Drosophila melanogaster: one gene and its partners. The protein of the gene in region 1 interacts with the protein of each later gene in a pairwise test. Each region holds a gene or a part of one and is shown in the gene's direction. Other genes may lie near its edges. The genes, in order: Cpn, CG9184 and Act87E.

The links.
Region 2: the proteins of Cpn (region 1) and CG9184 interact in a two-hybrid assay, tested with the Drosophila melanogaster proteins (one large-scale study listed by BioGRID).
Region 3: the proteins of Cpn (region 1) and Act87E interact in a two-hybrid assay, tested with the Drosophila melanogaster proteins (one large-scale study listed by BioGRID).

Annotation. Positions count from the first base shown.
Region 1 is NT_033777.3:12,162,603-12,170,117, reverse strand, and holds Cpn (calphotin), read left to right. Parts: upstream 1-3,931; 5' UTR 3,932-3,997; intron 3,998-4,444; 5' UTR 4,445-4,567; coding exon 4,568-7,162; 3' UTR 7,163-7,231; downstream 7,232-7,515. UniProt on the Drosophila melanogaster protein: Plays important roles in both rhabdomere development and in photoreceptor cell survival. Might function as a calcium-sequestering 'sponge' to regulate the amount of free cytoplasmic calcium. It binds 0.3 mole of Ca(2+) per mole of protein.
Region 2 is NT_037436.4:1,319,211-1,326,464, reverse strand, and holds CG9184 (uncharacterized protein), read left to right. Parts: upstream 1-3,658; 5' UTR 3,659-3,682; coding exon 3,683-3,713; intron 3,714-3,762; coding exon 3,763-4,460; 3' UTR 4,461-4,673; downstream 4,674-7,254. Other genes in the region: Myo61F (myosin 61F), read right to left, coding at 1-92, 149-264, 326-470, 1,836-1,894.
Region 3 is NT_033777.3:13,421,994-13,429,508, forward strand, and holds Act87E (actin 87E), read left to right. Parts: upstream 1-3,989; 5' UTR 3,990-4,049; exon of another isoform or gene 4,050-4,185; intron 4,186-4,453; exon of another isoform or gene 4,454-4,589; 5' UTR 4,590-4,610; coding exon 4,611-5,741; 3' UTR 5,742-6,382; downstream 6,383-7,515. Other genes in the region: Ir87a (ionotropic receptor 87a), read left to right, coding at 44-566, 620-1,147. UniProt on the Drosophila melanogaster protein: Actins are highly conserved proteins that are involved in various types of cell motility and are ubiquitously expressed in all eukaryotic cells.

The DNA of each region.
Region 1 (7,515 bases):
CGAAATAAAAGTTCCTTATAAATGATGCTGCTAACCTTAGTGCCGCATTCGGAGTGAACATAATATAAATTTTCAACGGGGCTGAGTAGGAGCCAAATGAAAGGTGACAGCTGGGATGTGGGGGAATTGGGGCAAGGAGCTATGGCTAAACAATAGTTCAGCAAAAAATAAGTTGAAAACGAGTGAGAAAAACTTAAGTGCCCGTTAAATTTCCCAGCGGACTAATGATAAAAGTTACGCGACTCCTGGCCACGCCCCTCAGCCCACCACCGCCATCGTCACGCGCATTTTCCTACCTTTCCTGCAGCAGCATTTTTCCCGGCTTGTCGGATTTGTTTGCTCTTTAACCCTTTCCATTTGGCGAAGCCTTTTCATTGTTTTTTTAGCTCCTTTCGCCATACTTTTTTGTTGTTTTTCCCCTGCCTCGAGTACCGGTAAATACATTGCGGCATTCAAGTTAATTTACCACAAGAAAGGAGCCAGCAATGAGTCGCAAGGAGCAGAAGTCTGCAAGGAGCGGAAAAGCAGTCTTGGGAAAAGGCTGAGAAAAAATGCAATGAAAATTATGTTGAACCAGGCCAGGGATCGTAATTAGTTTACTGCCATTTAACTTGCTACATTAGTTGCAATTACGTTGTAAATATTGTGTATTTATTCCGCAGTTCATTTGAATTTCTTAAACTGCGTTCTGGGGTTTTCCGTTCCTGAATATTTACAAGACGATCTGAAAGGCGTTAAGCATTTCGATTGAATAATGGATTCAATTTTGTCCCATAATTTAAAGCTAGCTATACCTTAAATGTTCTATTAAATTTTATCTTTCTCTGAAAGTTAACATATGAAAATGGAGTATATAAAAAGAAAAATGTAAAATATTTACTAACCATGCCCTCAAATCGTAAGTCTATTAAGCTGACAACTCAACTAGAAAACCCGTTCACATCCTTAAACAGATTAAACACTTATCACCAAGTGCTTTAAGTGTCAAGTCCTTGGAATTTTGCCACTATGGAAATTTTGAAAAATCATTAAAGTGGCTGGAGTATTTCTCAAAAGTTAATTGATCCAAATTGTTGTTTTGTTTTTTGTTTGTTCAATATTTCATATTTTACTTGCCATTGCTGTTGATACAGTGTGTACGTGCGTGCCATTCGATTTGTGTTTGTTATGTGCTTTGCATAATTTAACACTTTGCCTTAAAAACAATCAAATTGTCAAGTGTCAAAAGTTCGTGTCGGCCCAGAATATTCCTCCGCTCAACTGGGCTCTGTTTGTGCTGCCATGTAAATGTAAATAAAAATGCATTAAAAATGTAGCTGTAATTTACACACTCACACTTTCCAGGGAGGTGAAAATAGCCTGAAAAGTGGGTGGGGGTAGCGACCGTAAGTGGGTGCTTGTGTGCAATATTTTGCATTTGCCTGCCAGTTTTTCCGGTTTGCTCTGACCACAAAGTGTTGGCCATTAACCGAGCGCAGTCTGAGCCACCCGCTGGGCCATATCATGTTTATGCCGCACGCTTCGAGAATAAGAATGTTCATGGAAAGTGTCGGATCTACTAGTTTGCACGGAGAAGAGAGAAATGTTTAAACAATAATAATATATATATTTAATGAATATTTTCCTCTTTATTATTTAATTGATTTATAGTTTGCAGCATGCACTCCGCATAAACGCAGTAACAGACACTTTCCCAGGGAAGCGGAAAGGCAGGCTGACGCGTGTTAATTTGAATAAATTATTAAAGCACGTGATGAGCGCGACCTTTCAACCAATTGGGGCAACTACCAGCCATCACCCACACTACCGCCCCCACCAATCCCAATTGGATGGTCGAAAACACACCAACCAGCCCACCCCCCGCAAGCCAAGTGCAATTAAGCACGAAAAAACCAATCAAACTGGAAATAAATTGCGCCATAGTTGCAGCAGCCACACAGCGACCAGGGTTGCCATACGGCGCCGATTTTTGCGAATTTTTTTTGCCTAGCCAGCACTTTGTGTGCCCCTTCTGCGTGTGGGTGTTTTGGGTTTTTTGCGTTCGCCGGGGGTTTCCCTTTTTATTGTGGCCGCTGGGTGAAAATTGTTTGCATTGCATTCTCTGCTGATGCATGCGAATTGAGAAATATTTGCAATTTAGCAAAATACACCCGGAAGCGGCTCCGGATTGAAGCTTGAGCTCCTTTTGCCACATTTCGCAATTTCGATTTTCGCCCCGCATTTGTATTCATATTTGTATTTGGTTTTTCCAATCGCACACGGGCCCGACTTTCCACACTCTTACAGTGCGTGCAAAATGACGGCAATTAGGTGTATACGCTGCGCTGATTTATGTTTTTTTTTTTTTTTTGTAGTTGATCGCCTCACCTTCGAAAATAGCCAGGAATGCAATATCCATTGTTTCAGGGAATGGATTTCATCCGAGTATTGTTTTTCGGTATAAAACATTGTTTGAGAAATATTTGTAAAATATGACAAAAACTTCTATTCTATTGCTGGCAATTACAATTTGAGATCACTCATCAGTGACCACAGATTCGAAGAAAATCAAATGTATTTGTTGAGGTACGCAAACTCCTTCGCAGCTCAGATCAATTGTCGAGTTCAGTGATGCAGGAGGAGATAGAATAAAGTATAAATACAATTTGTATGCTTGATGTAATTTCATTTCCACTTATCTTGGTATTTTCTCTGCATTTTGCTTCATGCGATTGATTTATCGCACAGAAAATAATAGGCAGCCAATGTCTGTGCATCCTGTGAAAGGACTCGCTCTCGGCCTTCCAAGCATTCAATCCCTGAGCCGGGTTCAGTTTATATTCAAATGCTTACGCTTAAATGTCAATAATACGTGAAATTGAACTGCCAATTCAATCTTCACAACTACTCCGCATCGCTCCTCCACTTCTCCAGTGAAATCATTTCCATATAAGCGTTTTCCCATCTCGTCTATTTATATATATGTATGTATTTCTTTTCTTTTCGTTCGCAACTCTTTTTATTTTCCATCCTGCGAGAAAAATTCTTTCTGTTCATATGTGGAAAAACTATTTGCAAAAGTCTCAAGTGTGCTCGGTTCCCGGCCAGCAGAGGGGCAAGTGAGGCGAAGGTGTAGGTGGACGTGTTGGTGTTGGACTTTTTAAAACGACGCCTGCAAATTGTACGCAGATCACATTACACTTGCTCCAACGGACGGCATGTGCAACTGCCGGCTGCCTCTGTGGATTGCTTTACATTTGGCTGCACTTCCTACCCGGCATTCACTCGAAAAATTGAAAGATTTATTTCTTAGTTCTTTGCGATTACATTTCCACCGAGCTAATGTGTTCCGATCCAACGGCTACGTAGTGGCAGTTTGTCAACTGTCATTGCATCAGACATTGAATGGGCCACGATAGCAAATGGATTGTGGAGGGTCGGGTGAGGGCGGGGCAGTGCGGGGCAGCGCGGGAACCTGTCGCATTTTGTTGACAACTACATTGCAAATACGGCAAAGTAATCAGTATTGTGTAAATAACCAGTTATGTGTCTGCGAGTGCAGCTGACAAAGCGAGTGGTAAGCGATATGCACTGGATCGCGAATAAATTCTTGAAAGCGTTTCCCCGATTTATCTACCCGATGCATTTGGCAAGATGCGAACGGAATCGATAATCGAATAATATGCGAATATCACTCATACGCAGTGGTGGGCGCCAACGCATGTAGCACACTTTTCAGCGCCAAATGTTTCCTCGTGCGAGCCGGAACAAATTTAATATGTGGCTAAGGTCAGCTGATAAGCACCTTAGTGTCTGGGAATTGGAAAAACGCAAAAAGCACTTGAAACTATGCGTATACTTTCTGCGCTCAATGGGCAGTTGTCGGACTTCTGACCGAAGGTAAACCAATGAAAAGAGGTAAAAATGTCCAAGAAAACTGAGTCAACGGGCCAGTTAAACACCGTTTTTCTCATCGGCAAGTCGGTCGCTGTTTAAAACTATTCAACAAATTAAATTGGTTAATAATATTGAAAATATTCAAAAGGATTGACTTACCTAAGAGGCAGTTCCTAATAGTTGACCATTTCATTGCTGACCGCTTATTTTCGAATTTTTGAACGAAATTGTGCAAGTGCCTTGTTTTCTCTTACATAATTTAGCAACTACAGTTTTGTAAAAGAAAAATATATTTCGAATAGACGTCAGAAGCAAGAGACTAGTTAACTCAATTGCTCTTACTTTTACTTCTCATGTAGTGAAGACAATTCTAATCTCATTTAATCAATGTAATTTTATTGTATAGATATTTGAATCAGTATTTTCCGGAGAACTTTTATTCTTATTTTTCTCATTCTTACGTGGTTTCTCATCGATTTAATTTTATTTAAGACAATGGCCTAAATCATGGTCAGATCCAGCCTTGCCATGTCTCATGTTTTTCTCGTTTTCATTCCTCTGTTTTCAGTTGTCTTCTGACCATGAAAAGCTGGCCATGAAACATTTTTGCAACTAAGCATTGGACAAGGCACAATCCGCCCAAAAGGAAAAAACGGATTAACTTTTATGTGAAAGTGGGCAAAGGATAGACATGGAACCAGGAACCATTCCATCGCCTGTTTCAGCACCAGTTGCTGCGCCTGTGACGCCATCAGCAGTGGCTGCCCCTGTCCAAGTAGTAAGTCCTGCGGCAGTGGCTCCCGCACCAGCGGCACCGATTGCAGTCACTCCAGTTGCTCCACCGCCCACCCTTGCAAGTGTGCAACCGGCAACAGTTACTATTCCAGCTCCAGCTCCAATTGCTGCCGCATCCGTCGCTCCTGTCGCATCTGTGGCGCCTCCAGTTGTTGCAGCTCCAACTCCGCCGGCAGCAAGTCCAGTTTCAACACCACCCGTTGCTGTTGCTCAGATTCCGGTCGCTGTTTCAGCACCAGTGGCACCTCCCGTTGCTGCAACACCCACTCCTGTTGCCCCAATTCCTGTAGCTGCGCCTGTGATAGCGACACCACCTGTTGCTGCCTCTGCCCCCACTCCGGCTGCCGTGACTCCCGTTGTTTCGCCTGTGATCGCCACACCACCTGTGGTTCCCGCTAACACCACGGTTCCCGTTGCAGCACCTGTAGCTGCTGTACCAGCTGCTGTTCCTGTTGTTGCCCCAGTTCTTGCGCCTGCCGTTGCTCCTGCAGTTGCCCCCGTCGTCGCCGAGACTCCAGCTCCACCACCTGTTGCTGAGATTCCGGTTGCAACCATACCGGAGTGCGTTGCACCTCTCATCCCCGAGGTTTCCGTCGTGGCAACGAAACCACTAGCTGCAGCTGAGCCAGTGGTCGTTGCTCCACCGGCTACTGAAACCCCAGTCGTTGCTCCGGCTGCAGCTTCCCCCCATGTGTCGGTTGCACCAGCTGTGGAGACCGCAGTGGTCGCTCCTGTAAGTGCTTCGACTGAGCCCCCGGTAGCTGCTGCGACTCTAACAACTGCACCAGAAACGCCAGCCCTTGCTCCAGTCGTTGCCGAGTCCCAAGTTGCTGCGAATACTGTTGTAGCTACACCTCCTACTCCAGCCCCAGAGCCAGAAACCATTGCACCACCTGTTGTTGCAGAAACCCCAGAAGTTGCTTCAGTTGCTGTTGCTGAGACAACACCACCCGTTGTACCTCCTGTGGCCGCAGAATCAATACCAGCGCCAGTCGTTGCCACGACACCAGTTCCTGCAACACTAGCAGTAACGGATCCGGATGTCACTGCATCTGCTGTTCCCGAATTACCTCCGGTGATCGCTCCATCACCCGTTCCTAGTGCTGTTGCTGAAACTCCTGTCGACTTAGCGCCACCTGTTCTCCCTCCTGTGGCTGCCGAACCTGTACCAGCTGTAGTGGCTGAAGAAACTCCTGAGACACCAGCACCAGCATCAGCACCAGTGACCATAGCAGCTTTAGATATACCAGAAGTTGCTCCTGTGATCGCCGCACCCTCTGATGCACCTGCTGAAGCTCCGTCTGCCGCTGCTCCCATCGTTTCTACTCCACCAACTACGGCTTCTGTTCCCGAGACCACGGCACCACCTGCGGCAGTGCCTACGGAACCTATCGATGTTTCTGTACTATCAGAAGCTGCCATTGAAACGCCAGTTGCACCGCCTGTCGAAGTTACAACAGAAGTTGCAGTTGCAGACGTTGCTCCACCTGAGGCAGCTGCGGATTTAATAATCGAGCCTGTGGAACCACCAGCTCCTATTCCGGATTTATTAGAACAAACTACATCCGTGCCAGCTGTTGAAGCTGCAGAATCAACATCTTCACCAATACCAGAGACCTCATTACCGCCGCCAAATGAAGCAGTTGCCTCTCCAGAAGTGGCTGTCGCTCCAATTACAGCTCCAGAGCCCATACCTGAACCGGAACCAAGCCTAGCGACCCCTACAGAACCCATACCTGTGGAGGCACCTGTCGTAATCCAGGAAGCAGTGGATGCTGTAGAGGTGCCGGTGACAGAAACTTCAACATCGATTCCAGAAACTACGGTTGAGTATCCTGTAGCCGAAAAAGTCCTGGATCCTGCCATAACTGAAGCTCCTGTCACTACTCAGGAACCAGATGTTGCAAACATTAATGACGGTGCTCCAGCTACCGAAATCACCACACCCGCTGTTGAAATCGTTACTGCTGCTGCAGAAGTATCTGATACTGCCATACCGCTCATTGACCCTCCGGTTCCTCAAGAGATCGCAGTAGCTGAAATTCCAGAGACAGAGACAAAGCCGGCAGAGGTCATTGTTGAACAGAGCACCATCCCAATAGAGGCACCAGTCCCGGAGGTTTCAAAATACGCAGAACCAGTGATTTCTGAAGCTCCAGCTGCCGAAGTACCAATTACGGCCGGGGACAACCCAGACAATACTAGTGTGGGAATATCTGAAGTTGTTCCCACCATTGCAGAGAAAGCAGTTGAAGAGGTTCCCACTTCGGAAATCCCCGAACAATCATCGTCACCCTCAGATTCCGTTCCCGTAGCAAAGATAACTCCTTTGCTAAGAGATCTTCAGACCACCGATGTTTCGCTATTGGCTATTGCAGCCACCCTGGATGCCATTGGAGAAAAGCTAAAGGATCAAAAGGCCAGAAATCAGCAGGTAATGGACAGACTCTGCGAAATCGAGAAAATTCTTGGTCCTCCCAAATCCAATTAGCTCAAGTTTAAAGCCTGGATCATGTAAAGTAAAGCTACTAATAAAGCGTTATTTCACCAATTTTAAAGTATATACAAATTTATTACTAATTTCCTTTTCATAATAGGGTTAAAAGAGCCAAGGTATGGCTAGGTTGTCACAAATTGTTCCGTGCAAAATTAATGCAACCAAAACAAATCTACCATTTCCACTTTTTGGACATATCAGCATAGCTGGTTCCAAAGCCACAGCCACAGAACCTAATTTGCAAGCGCGTCGAAAATTTTCCCGTGGAAATTAGCATTCCAAAAGGGAGTGGGACATAAATACAGACGATTGTAAACGGGGAAAATGAATGAATATTTCCCACACTT
Region 2 (7,254 bases), on another chromosome or scaffold:
TCTTGCCGGAACCACTCTCTCCGGAGATGAGCACGCACTGGCCGCGGTTCTCCTCGATCAGCGAACGGAAGGCGTTGTCAGTCACCGCAAAGCTGGACAGGAATGCTCATTATTTGGTGGTTCAATGCAACTTGGTCTTGAGACTCACATGTGTGGGGGCATCTCGTAGAAGTGCTTGTTTCTGTACGCCTTGACATGGTCATCGGTGTAGATGGGCAGCTGCTTGTAGGGATTCACGGAGATCAACACCTGGCCAATGTAGGTCTGCGAAAGGGGATATCGTTATCATTATTTTGACCTATCTTCTTTAACTATTTTTACTCACATAGATCAGGTCCTCCTGGAACCGCTTCTTCAGATTCCCGATGAAGGCTTCTTCGCTCTGGTAGTTCTCGAGGAGCACAAAGTCCTGGACTCCAGCACGATCACGCTCGTGCAGGCCCGTCTCCATTTTCAGTTGGGAATTAAAACTAAAGCAAAGAAAGGGGTTCACATAAGCATCAAAATGATTCCTTAAATACAGATCCCACAGAAACGATTGGTGCTTGCTTCATTGTTAATTTTTCAACTTCCTAAGAAAATCCTCTTCATAGGTCTTATCTTTGACGAACCTAATCGGACTGCCCAGCTGAAAGGGTTGCCATGTTTAACCACCTTGATTAGGAAAAACCTCTTGAAAACCAATTCAGAAAAGCCCCATAGAAAGCCGAAACCCCAAAGATAAGATTTTCGCTATTCGACAATATTTTATAACAGTCCTGCGGAAATGAATCAGGCAAATGATAGTGACTCGTGAATGTGGATATTGTTGATCAATTCCAAATGATCTCATCAGACATATCCAATATAATATTCTATATGAGTCCCAATGCAAATACCCAATCTGGGGTATTTATAGATCCATAGAAGTAATGGTGGGCAGGTGCAATTCACCTTATCAATGCCATATTTCATGGGGCCAAGGGAAGTGGGCAAGTGGTAAGAGTTTGCTTTATTGGACGACTGCTCCAGTTCTGCTGATACGCGGCGGGTAAAACCATAAAAGAAACGATTATGCAATGGATTTGTGACTGGTAGGATTTCTAAGATTCCTAAGAAATGCTGGTCATATAACTGTGGGATTATCCAAGGACACTTCACTAGGTCACTGAGTAAACAATTGCACATCTCTAGATGGATTCTCTTCAAATCACGCTTCTTCTACCTGGCCATGTTTGTTCGATTCTTCTTGTTCCACAACACTACTGCACAAACACCACTGATAGCTCCAATTGATGATTCTCTGGAGGATGTGTCAGATTCCGCGCATATTCCGCCCTTTGACGGCTCCGTTGGCAAACTAAACCGATCCGCTGGCAGTTGAGGCGTTTTAACCATCAATACTTCTCCTCTCCACATATCAATTGGCCTCGTCGGAATTTGTGTTGTTCTTTTTTTTTAGTCGGCACATTTATCAACGATAATATACCTATGACTGCGATGAGGAGGGCAATGCCGCCAATCAGTCCCCGATTAGATAGTGCCTTTCGCGAATAAACTCGGGACCCGATTTAGGAGACCATGACAGAAACGCAGCGCACCAAAGAATTCCGGATCGGCTGTATTCCGGAGTTCCAAGTACCTGAGATCACGATACGTCTTTTTCGCATGCGTCAATCCTAAAGATATATGCGTTCCCATCTCCCATCATTCCGAGCAACCCAATGTTTTCAGTTGATTCATAATGTGGTTCCTCCTAGCTACGCGAACCAGTTTCTTGGTTTTTAGATAACTAATCAAGAATTATTCTATATGATTTATAATCTATTCACTTTCTTTATCTTAGCACTGCTTACTCTATGTAGTCCTTAGTATCCATTATTGCGAAGATCAAGGATTTGATTTCAATGTACATAAGGAATTCCTTTACTTAGTTCTTGCTCCACAATTAGCTAATTTCATAAACTTGCTTCTCCAAAATGTAAATTATAACTTAATGCTTTCAAGATTTCTAGATGACTGCCGCGCTTTCGGGACATTTCTGAGTGAGTCAGAGCTCGAAACTCACAACCCCGACTCAGAAAAGTGCTCCAGCTCACATTAGCACTGTGTTATCAGCTATCAGTGTGCTAAATAATAAGTCATTGCCGAATGAAAACATTGTAAGTACACACACTAGATTGCAATTGCCTCCACCGCCACTATTGTGTGTTTCCATCCACTCTGCGCCACTTGGAAGGGGATTTGCTGTGTGGAACTGGAACGAATGCCTGACTAATTGCGAAATGTTTGCCGGGAAGACTTCCCAGGAATTCTCGAAGAGACCGGCAGACACGTCCCAGTCGTTGGAGCCGAGCTCGCCGTGATTCGATGTTTGTCACATAATTGTTTAATTGCACGTAGGGCAGATGGAAGTGGATATCGATCATGTCGAAAACCATATACGAATACATCACCCAATGGGCACAGCCATTTGCAGTCATTCTGCAATCACTTTAGCACTTTTGACAAACCAACCATCGCCTAAGATTATGCTACGTCTATTTAAGGAATCCACAAGTTGGAGGGCAGGTGAGTGCAGATCTCATGGAACTGTTTGGGATCCAATTGACACGAGTATATGTTGTATGATAAGAGAGTTGCCAAAGTTGACTGGGTGGCGGGGCAAGCCTCTACAGATACTTTCATGATTAGATAAACTAGCTGGGGGATATAAAATGAATTAAACTGTAAATATTAATGAGTGTGTAGTCATTATAATTATACTTTGCTCAATATCCCTGCAATAACACGGTTTCTCCCTACTATGAAGTCATTGACTTTCTGTTCCCTGGGGGCGTTGCTTTTGTCGGCTTGATCCACTCTTTCTTTAATCCCCATTCAGCGGTCTAATAGAGTGGGGAACTGGTTTCCCGATCCAGAAATACTCCAACGGGTGATGTAACAGAGAACTCCACATTTTGTTGTATCAGACGACTCGTAAACATGTCTACGACACACGACCTATAACGGAACCCAAAAACCATGAGTCCCACCCAAACGAAAAAGTTCCTAACCCATTAATCGCACACCGAAAGAAATAGTCGAGCATTAAGAATAGGAAACCAAGAGGCAGAGGCTGATTTGCTTTGTAGCGAGATGGAGAAATACATTCGTAAAAAGTAAAGATAAGTTCTAAAGACGGAAACTCAACGATAATACAATAAGTTCAAGGGCACATATTTCCAAAAAATTTGTTGCCAACTCAAGAGCTTTGCTGAATATTTTTTTGTTCAGTGGCATGACCAACCTTCATCTGCATTCAAATGTCGTCATATATCAAGCAGCAATATCGCGGGATATTGAACTCTTCGAATTCATTTGGAAAAATGCAGGGCTGGCAGAACGATCATGGAAGTGGAATGAGAAGTGGAAAGATCCCACAAAGCCCCTACAAGCATTTATATCATATGCAAATTAATGAGCGCAGTTATTAGAACGGTGCTTGATCGATCCGAGATCGAGATCGAGTTCGAGCTGGAGCTGGAGCTGGGGATGGAGATGGAGATGGACACAGAAGAAAGAAAGGCATCCCAAATTTGGGCCACTGCATGGGTTATTCTAATGAGGAAACCGGGAACGAGATCCCACACATCTCATCACAGATGCACCGCGTATAAAAGGGCAATGCAACTGGAGTGGTCAGGTTATTCCGAGAGAGATCATGGATCGGAGAGTGACTGCGATTGGTTTGGGTGAGTACGGACGATCGGCTGCCTAGAAAGAGTGACACATCCTTTTCAGTTATCCTGCAGCTGCTGGTCAGCGGCCTCTGTTTCCAGGAGAAGGCGCCACTGCAGACGAGCCTGGTCAGCGGACAGGCCAGGACCGAAAAGCAGCAACAGGTGCTGGACGATCCGCTGGGAAGTGGACGCGGGATTGACGAGCACCTGCTGAAGACCATTGGTAAGGGCGGCATCAAGCTGGTGATGGCCTCGGGAGCCCCGTCGACCACCCCGAAACCGTCAGTACAACACCATTACTATTATCCACCAGAGGATCAGCAGCACCCACGGCAGTATGGCTATCCACCGCAGTGGTCGCCAGGACCGCCCGCTTATCCGCCGCCACCGCAGCGTCCTTGGGGGCCACCCCCTCCGCCCGGACCACCGCCGCCAGGACCTCCTCCTCCGCCGGGACCCTACTACAATCCCTACTACAATGGCTACAACTACTACGGCGGATATGGCGGCTATGGATATGGGGGCTTTGGATATCCCGGCTTTGGCGGCTATTCTGGCTATCCCTACTATCCCTTCTATCGCTCCTCGACGGCTGGCGAGGTCGATAACCAACTTCCCGGTGCCGATGGACTCACTTCCGCCGCCATTCCTGGCGTTTTCCAGGGCAGGGCCGTGCTGTCCCACCAGAACTTCCTCGACGGCAGGAACAACGCTAACGTTGTGCCACTTTATCACCTACTCCAAATGGCCAGGGCTTGAAGTACTCTAATCCAATCATTGATTAAAACTTAATAAATTGTGTACCATGTATATTCCGAGTAACCGCGTGATGCATTGTAGTTCTTACTTATCATCGCATGCGTTCTAGTTTATAGCCCTATTCAATATCTAATCGATTCTGACTGGATAAATGTTTAAAGAAATCGTCCAACTGAAAGCCCATAATAGTAGAAACAGAATTGCAGAAAGGAGAAAGGCAGAAGGTGTTTCTATTAATCCACTCGAGATTGACGATTACTTAAACCCTGATAATAGCTTTGCCAGATCATCCAACTGAATGGATCGTTAGATTATAAAGAACCCAGTTGAGGCCGCTGACCGAGAGTAAAGATGATCGAATTCGTTCAAACGATCGTCATCATCGTCATTTCTCGCACCCGCAAAGACTGGAAATTCAAATTCAAACTGGGCAAACTTATCGAGCCGGTTGCAAATACATATGTATATAAGAGAATCTGGACGCTCGGTTGCTGAGTCACCCGCTTTTAGGGACGAGTCTTCTGGGCACGAGGAGATCTCGAGGAGATCACGCCGCCATTGTGACGCATGCCAAGTGCCTGGGTCTCGGTCTCGGATAACCATTAAGTATTAAACAATCACTGGGGCCCGCTGTTTTCTTAGCTCACTGCGAGCCATAAAAAGCGTCAACAGCTGAGGCCGATCTTGAACGCGATTTACTGCCAATTGCAAAAAAAAAAGAAAAAATCTGCTGAAAGAGCTGCCCAAAAGCGTTTCGTTTTGTTTCGTTTTTGCCTTTCCTACTGTTTTGGCCGCTTCAAAACAGACTTTTTGCTCGTACTCACGTCGAATAAGAGTTTGGAGTTTGGGATTGGGGCTTCCACGAAAAGCCCTTACTTGGCACTTTACCGAACCTGAGCAAATCCGAGGTGCGATGTAATGGTGATCCCAACACGAGCTCACTCAAGCTCACTCCTCCGTCGAAAGAAATGGAATGGAGTGGAAGTGCTGGCTCCGTGTTCTTGGTTCCTCGCCAGTCGAACTTTATGACTAGTGGGGATTTTTGCTATAATTGTACTTGTGCCATACAATTGATTGAATGGGGCATATTGCCACATGGCCAATTACCGCTTTATTAAGGTGGATCAGCAGTTTCTCAGCCAGGATACTACAGATAATAGTAGAATGCCGTCAATATTTGTAATTTAAAAGGTGAAAATGAATCGTAACTTCTTTAAGAGATCGTATCTTATACATCTTTAAAGAACAATGTCTGAATGAATCCATTCACTAGGTAAGACCAGGTCATTCTCTACTCTTCCAAGTGACACATCTGCCCATTCATAAAAGAGGGCATACCAATTGTCGACCAGACCTCCACATCTTTCGTGGAAAAGCGATGTGCTTCGATGGACGTTTACGACAATCGCTTGTGGTCTTTTGTCGATTCAACTTAATTTTCGTATCTTATCTTATTAGACATTAATTAATGTCATAATGCAGCTGGCTAAGAAGAGGTAAAAGCACCCTGTATGTACATATGTAGAGCGTACACGATCAATATCATATCAGTAAAACTGGTTGAACCCAGCGAGAAGATAACGCCACCGATTCCGATAAGAGAAAGTTCAAGTTTGTCATCAGGCCGCGATTTCGAAATTTTTTCAGGTGGGTGCGGGTCGCCGTTTCCCCTAGACACCAGGTTATGCTATATTTCGAATATTCCGTGGACTCCATAGAGTCAAATGGGCACATGACAAGGCTGGGCGATAATAAATATCGCAATTACCCGAACCAAAAGGCGTGCAATTTTATTTCCTTCTCCGGTTCTTCGTTTGTTCTCTTGGCCTCTGGGTTTGTTTGCCAAACGGTTAGTTCGCAGAAAGTTGGCATTACATCATTACCAAAATTCGGGTTTTCGTGATACGCTTGGTTTTCCAATTCGTTTCTTTTGGGTGCCAAGTGTGAGGCAATGACATTGGGGGCAATGCTTTGTGCACTCGAAAAAAGGTGTTCTACAATCGCCTCTAGTCTAGCTTCAATACCATTAAGTACTTTAAAAGTGAGCAGATCCCAGATATTTTAAGACTACAGGTAGGTATTTGACAATATTATTATATTGTTGCGAGCTTGTATTTGAACAGCTGCCAGATTTGGCGAATCATTCGGTTTCGTTTTCGATCCATTGCAGTTGGTTATTTTTAAGCGGCTTATTGCCGCTGTTTTCAAAACTGGGTCAAATTAATGGAGGGCCGTCGCAGTGTGGAAACGAAATTGAAATTTGATACAATTTCAATTGGTCAGCGAGTAGGCAAGCGGAGCAAGGGGATACATCCCCGCCAGCTATATCCACCGATTACTCATGTCTCCCCCATAGCCAAACACATACGCCCTGTTGACCCTCTTTGTGTGCCCCGCCTGTTTGTTCCTGCTATAAAACCTGGGCAAACAAGCTCATCCCCGGGGAGCGAGGGACAGGTGAACCCCCCCAGCCAGTTTACAAATATCCTCGCAGACGATGTGTGGAGTGAAGACCCAGGAAGCGAACGGAGGAGCGAGCGAAGCGGCGAAATTGAGGTGCCGGTGCCTAAACGCTCGCTTTATTAGAGGAGCATCACAATAAACCAGATCTCTTCGATTGCGGTGGCTGCTGCACTGGGAGAATCATCTTCCCATATTATTTATTATTTCAAAGAACCGATCATGAAAAAGCACCCTTGATTATCATTGAAAGTTGTTAGGAAAGTTAGAAACTGCGTAAACCATTTGCATTTATGAGTTAAACTAATCCTTGAGGAAACGTTTCTCGCAGTGC
Region 3 (7,515 bases), 1.3 Mb from region 1:
TATTTAATAAATAATTAGTTTATGTTTTTATATTTAATCGCAGTGAAATAGAGATGATAGTCGGAGGAATAGATGAAGATCCGAGCATCAGTCAGTTCGTTTCCAGTTCCATTCCTTATCACCAGGACGAACTCACATGGTGTGTGGCCAGGGCAAAGCGCAGACATGGGTTCTTCAATTTCGTGGCCACTTTCAATGCGGATGCTGGCTTTCTGATTGGAATCTTTGTGGTTACATGCTCTCTGGTTGTTTGGCTGGCTCAACGCGTATCAGGCTTCCAATTGCGGAATCTCAATGGATATTTCCCCACCTGCTTGAGGGTGTTGGGAATCTTGCTTAACCAGGCCATTCCGGCACAGGATTTTCCAATTACATTAAGGCAGTTGTTTGCGCTTTCTTTTCTAATGGGCTTCTTCTTTAGCAACACATATCAGAGTTTTCTGATCAGCACACTGACAACTCCACGTAGTTCCTATCAGATCCACACTCTGCAAGAGATCTATAGCAATAAAATGACCGTGATGGGCACCTCCGAGCATGTCAGACATCTGAACAAGGATGGTGAGGTGAGTTACTATCCCATTTTCGATCATGGAAATTAATGGGAATTCATTTTTAGATCTTCAAGTACATACGCGAAAAGTTTCAGATGTGCTACAATTTAGTGGACTGCCTCAATGATGCAGCTCAAAACGAACATATCGCCGTTGCTGTTTCCAGACAGCACTCTTTTTACAATCCCCGAATCCAACGAGATCGTCTCTACTGCTTCGACCGCCGAGAATCCCTGTATGTCTATTTGGTTACCATGCTACTGCCGAAGAAGTACCATTTGCTGCACCAGATAAACCCGGTGATTCAGCATATCATCGAATCGGGTCACATGCAAAAGTGGGCACGCGATCTGGACATGCGACGCATGATCCACGAGGAGATAACAAGGGTGCGAGAAGATCCTTTCAAGGCTCTCACCTTTGATCAGTTTCGCGGAGCCATCGCATTTTCCGGGGGACTTTTGTTGGTTGCCAGCTGCGTCTTTGCCTTCGAGTTGTGCTACGTTAAATATGTCTATCGCACTGAAAAAAGGGAAAGGAAAACGAAAAAAATCACGAAAAAAGTTCATAATATTAAAATTCAACATGATTAGAAATTGAAGTGGCGAAAATGACTTTGGCATTTCTATGATAATTGACATGCAAAATAAATAAATAATCAAAAATCGAGAAACGGGTATAGCTACTTTACAAAGTAATAACAAAATCATTTCTGCTATAATAAAATCTTAAAAGCCCATATAGCATCTATAGCTGCATATTGTATTCTTTACATTGCACATACATATATATATTGATCACGCATACGCCCTGTATAACCAAACATGTGCATTGAATTAAAGGCATTAAATGCATATTAAATATTAAAAATATCGAAATAATGCTTGAAGAGATTCATAAATATGCTTGCATATTAATATTTTCTTGGCACAATATTCAATTTAAAAATACAGCTTTGCCATACACCGTGTAATGCAGTCTACTTGGCCGCTGCACAGTAAGAAAATGCGTATCATTTTGATTTAGATAATAAAAGGCGAATTTCCCAGATGTCCCAAATGTCAAAATTCATCTAAGCTTGATAATAAATGTTCACTAATTTATATGTAAAGGTTTTTGATTGTTTGCATCGGTACTTGTGGCTGGTAGAGGGTAGAGATAGCTACTTGAGTTTTTCACTGTTGCACAAACTCTTAATATTTTTCCTCGTGTTCCGTACTCATATCCGTAGTAGCATCCGCAGCCGTAGCTGCTGGCGATGCGGCTGGTTGTCAGAAAGGCAAACAAGCGCGCACGCCGCCAACGTCAAGCTGTCGTCGGCATTCTCCTCCGTTGTTTGGCGCATCCTTAAAAGGTGGTGGTGGCCCAATGCTCGACCTGGTATGTTCTTTTTTGTGGTGGCCTGGCTGGTTGGCTGGTGCCTCCTCTTCGGAAGACGCTGCCACAATCAAATATATGTGATTTTCTCAGATTTTTATAAATAATATTTTCAGGCAGCACATTTGTTGCAGTATCATCAAATTGGCAGATTTGTGTTGTTGCTGGCCAACACAATTCAATCAGCTGCTGGGCAGCTAATGTGGGCCGAAAAATTTCACAAAAAAATAATACACAACTGTTAACATATATTCATGTTTATTTTTATATTAATGATGACCAGCTAGGCGTTGTGGCAAACCAAATGAATGGCGCCCAACAAGGCGTTGTGAAAATGTTTGCCGATTACTCAGCTGATAGCGGGGAAAACAGAGTGAATGAACGCATATATACATATGTGGGAAATTCTATATTATTTATGGAAAGTAACATCATTAGTGGGGATCATGGAGATTGAATACAATATTTAATAAAAGTTAAGACATTTCCAGTAGGTACTAGACACGGTACATAATCATTTCTGTCAAGAAATTGTATTTCCTCACCTGTGATAATTGGCCACTCGCATACTTATCTAGATTTAAATATACAAATTTCGTAAGTTCCTTACTAAAAATAGAATTCCAAACTCTAGATACGTTTCTACGCGTAAGCGTCCAAGAATCTCTTGCAAAAACGTGAGAGCGCACGGTTTTCATTTAAATTATTTTTGCTTTCCCCGACTTTTCCATCTCATACACGGTTTTCCCACCCACACCAACACTCTCAACGAATTGAGAGAATATGTGTAGTGTAAACAACAAACGCATTTTTCCGTTTGTTATTATTTTTAAAAATTCTCATAGCACCATATAAGTCTATTAAGAGTTTTGATCATTAACTGAATAGCTTTCAATGATCTCGTTTGTGATTGATGAGTGTGTGCCAAGAAGAAAAACTCGAAGAGAAATGTTAATGGCCAAATAAGTTGGGGCGTATTAATTAATGTCAATTTGGCCAACCGAAAAAATCTGGCAAATCTATAAATGCACTATTCGCTCTATTAACAATTTTCCGTTTGTGTTTATGGCTTTTGGGTCCCTAACCAGCTATCCCCAAAACCAACAACCAACCCACCCACCCAGAAAAACAGCCCACACCCAACAAATTATGGCCGAGAGAATGCGGCGGTATATAAGTTTTGGTTTAGTTTTGAAATTCTTATTTCTAATTGCGAGTGCGTTCTCATCATCGCTGAGAGATTTCCATCGCAACCATGTATGGATTGGGCCAACGTGCAAATGTTGATTAAAAATTAGACAAAACAAAAAACGAACACGCCACCCATACATCTGCAGACACCTCCGCAGCTGCAGACAAAGATATAGCAACAGATACAAATACATATAAAGATAACGATTCGGATTCGGATGGAGAGCAAACATTACGCCTACGATTGGGATGCTCCGATCCGGAGGATCTTCTCGGGTGTGAGTGTCTGTGTGCCATCGCGATGTTGTTTACCAAGGCGCTCAGATCCGTCTGTTTCTCTGTTTCTCAGTCGATATTACACAAAGAGAAAATGTTGAAAGCTGTGACCTAAACATCACCAAGTTCACAAGCCTTTACTTAGCTTTAAACCAAATAATTAAAAGTATTAAATATTTTTCTGGCATATTTACTTAATAATATAATAATAATACTTAAGAAGTAGTTTGTGGTATGATATTTTAATATTAGAAAATCATTACACAATAGAAAATAGGTACAAAATTGATTATTTTCATTCCATCATATGCGCTTTACAAAAATCTATATTTTCTCATAACATATTTTGAGCCATCTTTCCTGCAGTGCACCATCTGGGAAATTATGAACGAAGCGAGCAGAAGTCCAAAAGCAAAAATCCAACGAAAACAAATTATTTTTAAAAGAAACTCAGAATCTCCCCCCGCCGGCGCAATGTGCATCCATGTGCACATGTGTGCCGAGAGGCGATTGAGTGTGCGTGCGGAAAATATCTAAAACGACTGAGGGTCGCCAGAATGGTATAAATATTAGCGCATCTCGGTCCAGCGACCACTCGCAGTTCTACAGCGAAAGTGTTGATTTGGATTTCTAGTTTTTCTTCGTCTAACGGTTAGTATACTCCACATCCACCAATTCCGTCTGTCTGGTTGACTTTTACCCAATCCGATGCTGGATCCAGTGTACAGTGCCCAACTTTCTGAAAAGAAAGATACTTTGGAAAGATAGAGATCTCAACAAACAACATATTTGACAAGGAGCAGAAAAAGTTTAATCAACGATCCTTAAATGTTTGGTTTTTAATAGTGACTAATTTTTGTTTAAAAAAACATTCTTTAAAATGTTAAAACTGAAAAATATTAGTTGTTTGATCTTAAATCAAAAATTATAATTAATTAAAACTTTTATTAAAGTATGTAATATTTTCAAAAGTTGAAGACAGCCCTTTTTTATTAATTTTAATGATTGCTCCTCTGCAAAGATACTCTTTCTTTTAAAGTCATACATGTTCTGAGGCAACACCTACACGTATTTCATAATTTCACACTTACACACAAGATTACAATTAAAATCCATACCCAATCCGAATACCGAAAGCCCACTTCTCACTTCTCCTTCTAAAAACCGCCTCCGTTCTCGTTGTTGTTGCAGTGAAAACAGCCAGTAGCCAAGATGTGTGACGATGAGGTTGCCGCATTGGTCGTGGACAATGGTTCCGGAATGTGCAAGGCAGGATTCGCCGGCGATGATGCGCCCCGCGCCGTCTTCCCCTCGATTGTGGGTCGTCCCCGTCATCAGGGCGTAATGGTGGGCATGGGACAGAAGGACTCCTATGTTGGTGATGAGGCCCAGAGCAAGCGTGGTATCCTCACCCTGAAATACCCCATCGAGCACGGCATCATCACCAACTGGGACGATATGGAGAAGATCTGGCACCACACTTTCTATAACGAGCTGCGCGTCGCCCCCGAGGAACACCCCGTCCTGCTGACCGAGGCCCCCCTGAACCCCAAGGCCAATCGCGAGAAGATGACCCAGATCATGTTCGAGACCTTCAACGCACCCGCCATGTATGTGGCCATCCAGGCTGTGCTCTCGCTGTACGCCTCCGGTCGTACCACCGGTATTGTCCTCGACTCCGGTGACGGTGTCTCCCACACCGTGCCCATCTACGAGGGTTACGCCCTGCCCCACGCCATCCTGCGTCTGGATCTGGCTGGTCGCGATTTGACCGACTACCTGATGAAGATCCTGACCGAGCGCGGTTACTCATTCACCACCACCGCTGAGCGTGAAATCGTTCGCGACATCAAGGAGAAGCTGTGCTATGTTGCCCTGGACTTTGAGCAGGAGATGGCCACCGCCGCCGCCTCCACATCCCTGGAGAAGTCATACGAGCTTCCCGACGGACAGGTGATCACCATCGGCAACGAACGTTTCCGCTGCCCAGAGTCGCTGTTCCAGCCCTCTTTCCTGGGAATGGAATCGTGCGGCATCCACGAGACCGTGTACAACTCGATCATGAAGTGCGATGTGGACATCCGTAAGGATCTGTATGCTAACATCGTCATGTCGGGTGGTACCACCATGTACCCTGGTATTGCCGATCGTATGCAGAAGGAGATCACCGCCCTGGCGCCGTCCACCATCAAGATCAAGATCATTGCCCCACCGGAGCGCAAGTACTCCGTCTGGATCGGTGGCTCCATCCTGGCCTCCCTGTCCACCTTCCAGCAGATGTGGATCTCCAAGCAGGAGTACGACGAGTCCGGCCCAGGAATCGTCCACCGCAAGTGCTTCTAAGCGATCTAAACACCACAGACACTGCAAACCACACGGGCATTGAGACCCAACCACACCACGCCACAGAACACCACACAACAACAACAAGAACAACATGAACAGCAACAACCAAATACCAAATCAAGATCTATAGCCTAGTGCTATTGATGATTAATCTTAAGTTAAAACCTCTTGCTGCCCTGCCATCCAAAGAAAACCGAAGGAACCGCGATTGTAACAGCATGTATTATACTTATATTAATATTTATTGGAGAGCCGCTTGATGGCGCTGAAGGAGGAGTTGAGGAGACACAAGAATGCAAAATTTTACAGTTTTAAAAATAAATTATACTAGCATCCTCTATAAATTAAATCTAAATTTTAAACGAAACGTATCTTTTATTCGCTGCAAGCGGCATGCTATGCGATTATTTTTAGCGACGCACAGGAAATTACGAAATTTTGCACGCCCACTGCAAAGAGCGAAATCTGGAGGTGGATCTCCTCGACTGGGGTGCACATACATATGTACATATGTGGCTGGGGATGAGCACGGTAATCCCAGCATAGACGCCTCCAAGACAGTCCATTTTTGCCCATTGCCAGTCGGTGCAGGAGCTGCCCCCCTCGTCGTGGATCTAAAAATACAGACCAAAGGAAACAACAAAAGCGGCAAATCAACATGCCGAAGTATTAACAAATGTCTTCTAAGACTACAGTCAACCCACAGTAGATTGAACAAATATGTGACTTTGAATGTCAGAATATCAACTTTAAAGGGATTCGAAAATATATATTTTTAAAACTAAACTAATTAGGAATACAAGAGCTCGCTGAAAACAGTCTTCGTTCAAGACCTAGTTAAGTATATTTTAGGTATGTTCCACTGTAACAATGTGTGAGATGGCCGTTTTTTTGGAGTTAACATAGCCGCTGGGAGAAGCGACCGCCGGCTGTCTTTTAAATTGCAGTGCCACGACCTCGGGGGCTGCAAAAATATCTTGGAATTTCAAGTACATTTGTGTGGCTGGTCCGGGACGCTTGTACTTGAAGATCGAGCAGACAGACGACACCAGGCAGATGGGCCTCCTCGGGACTCGGGATTCCTGGAATGGGGTGCCCAAATCGAAAATAGACGAGATACGGGTAGGGTATGTTGTACTGTATACATGATGCATAAATGCACTTTTTATTGAATATTTTATACATTTAAATGCTTCAACATCGTTGCTGTATGCTTAGACAAAAAATAATTGAGTGGATTGCTTGCACTTAACATTTCGTTGGTGTGTGGTAAGTCATTTTTTCGGTTCTGGGACCCCCGGCGGACAATACATTTACAAAAATACTCGCACAATTACATTCAATTCAGCTCATTTCGATTTGTATACTTTCAGTCAATTTTGTGGCTGCAGTTTAAAATTTCGTTGTTCTTAGTGGTCTGCTAGTTGTTAATTGGAATACTGCACATTAAACGGTCCTCACATCTCTTAGCTATAATATAAGCCTAGTATATTAAGCAGAACGCCCAACATCACGTTTTTATTTTCTGTTAAAAATCCAGTCTATACACTTACAGTTAGCGGTTGAATACTTTATTAAGTACACGGTTTAGCACATTTCGTTCCTCGATATCGCATCGGTGTATATGATATATGTAAAGTATATAAATATAGATCATTAAGGCACATTTAGGGACAGTATGCTTTTGATTGGACCTGCTCTCTCATTGTCTTTTTGTCGTTGCTCTCGCTTGGAATGCTTAAAACTCGTCTAAGTTTGTCTACGATAAAAT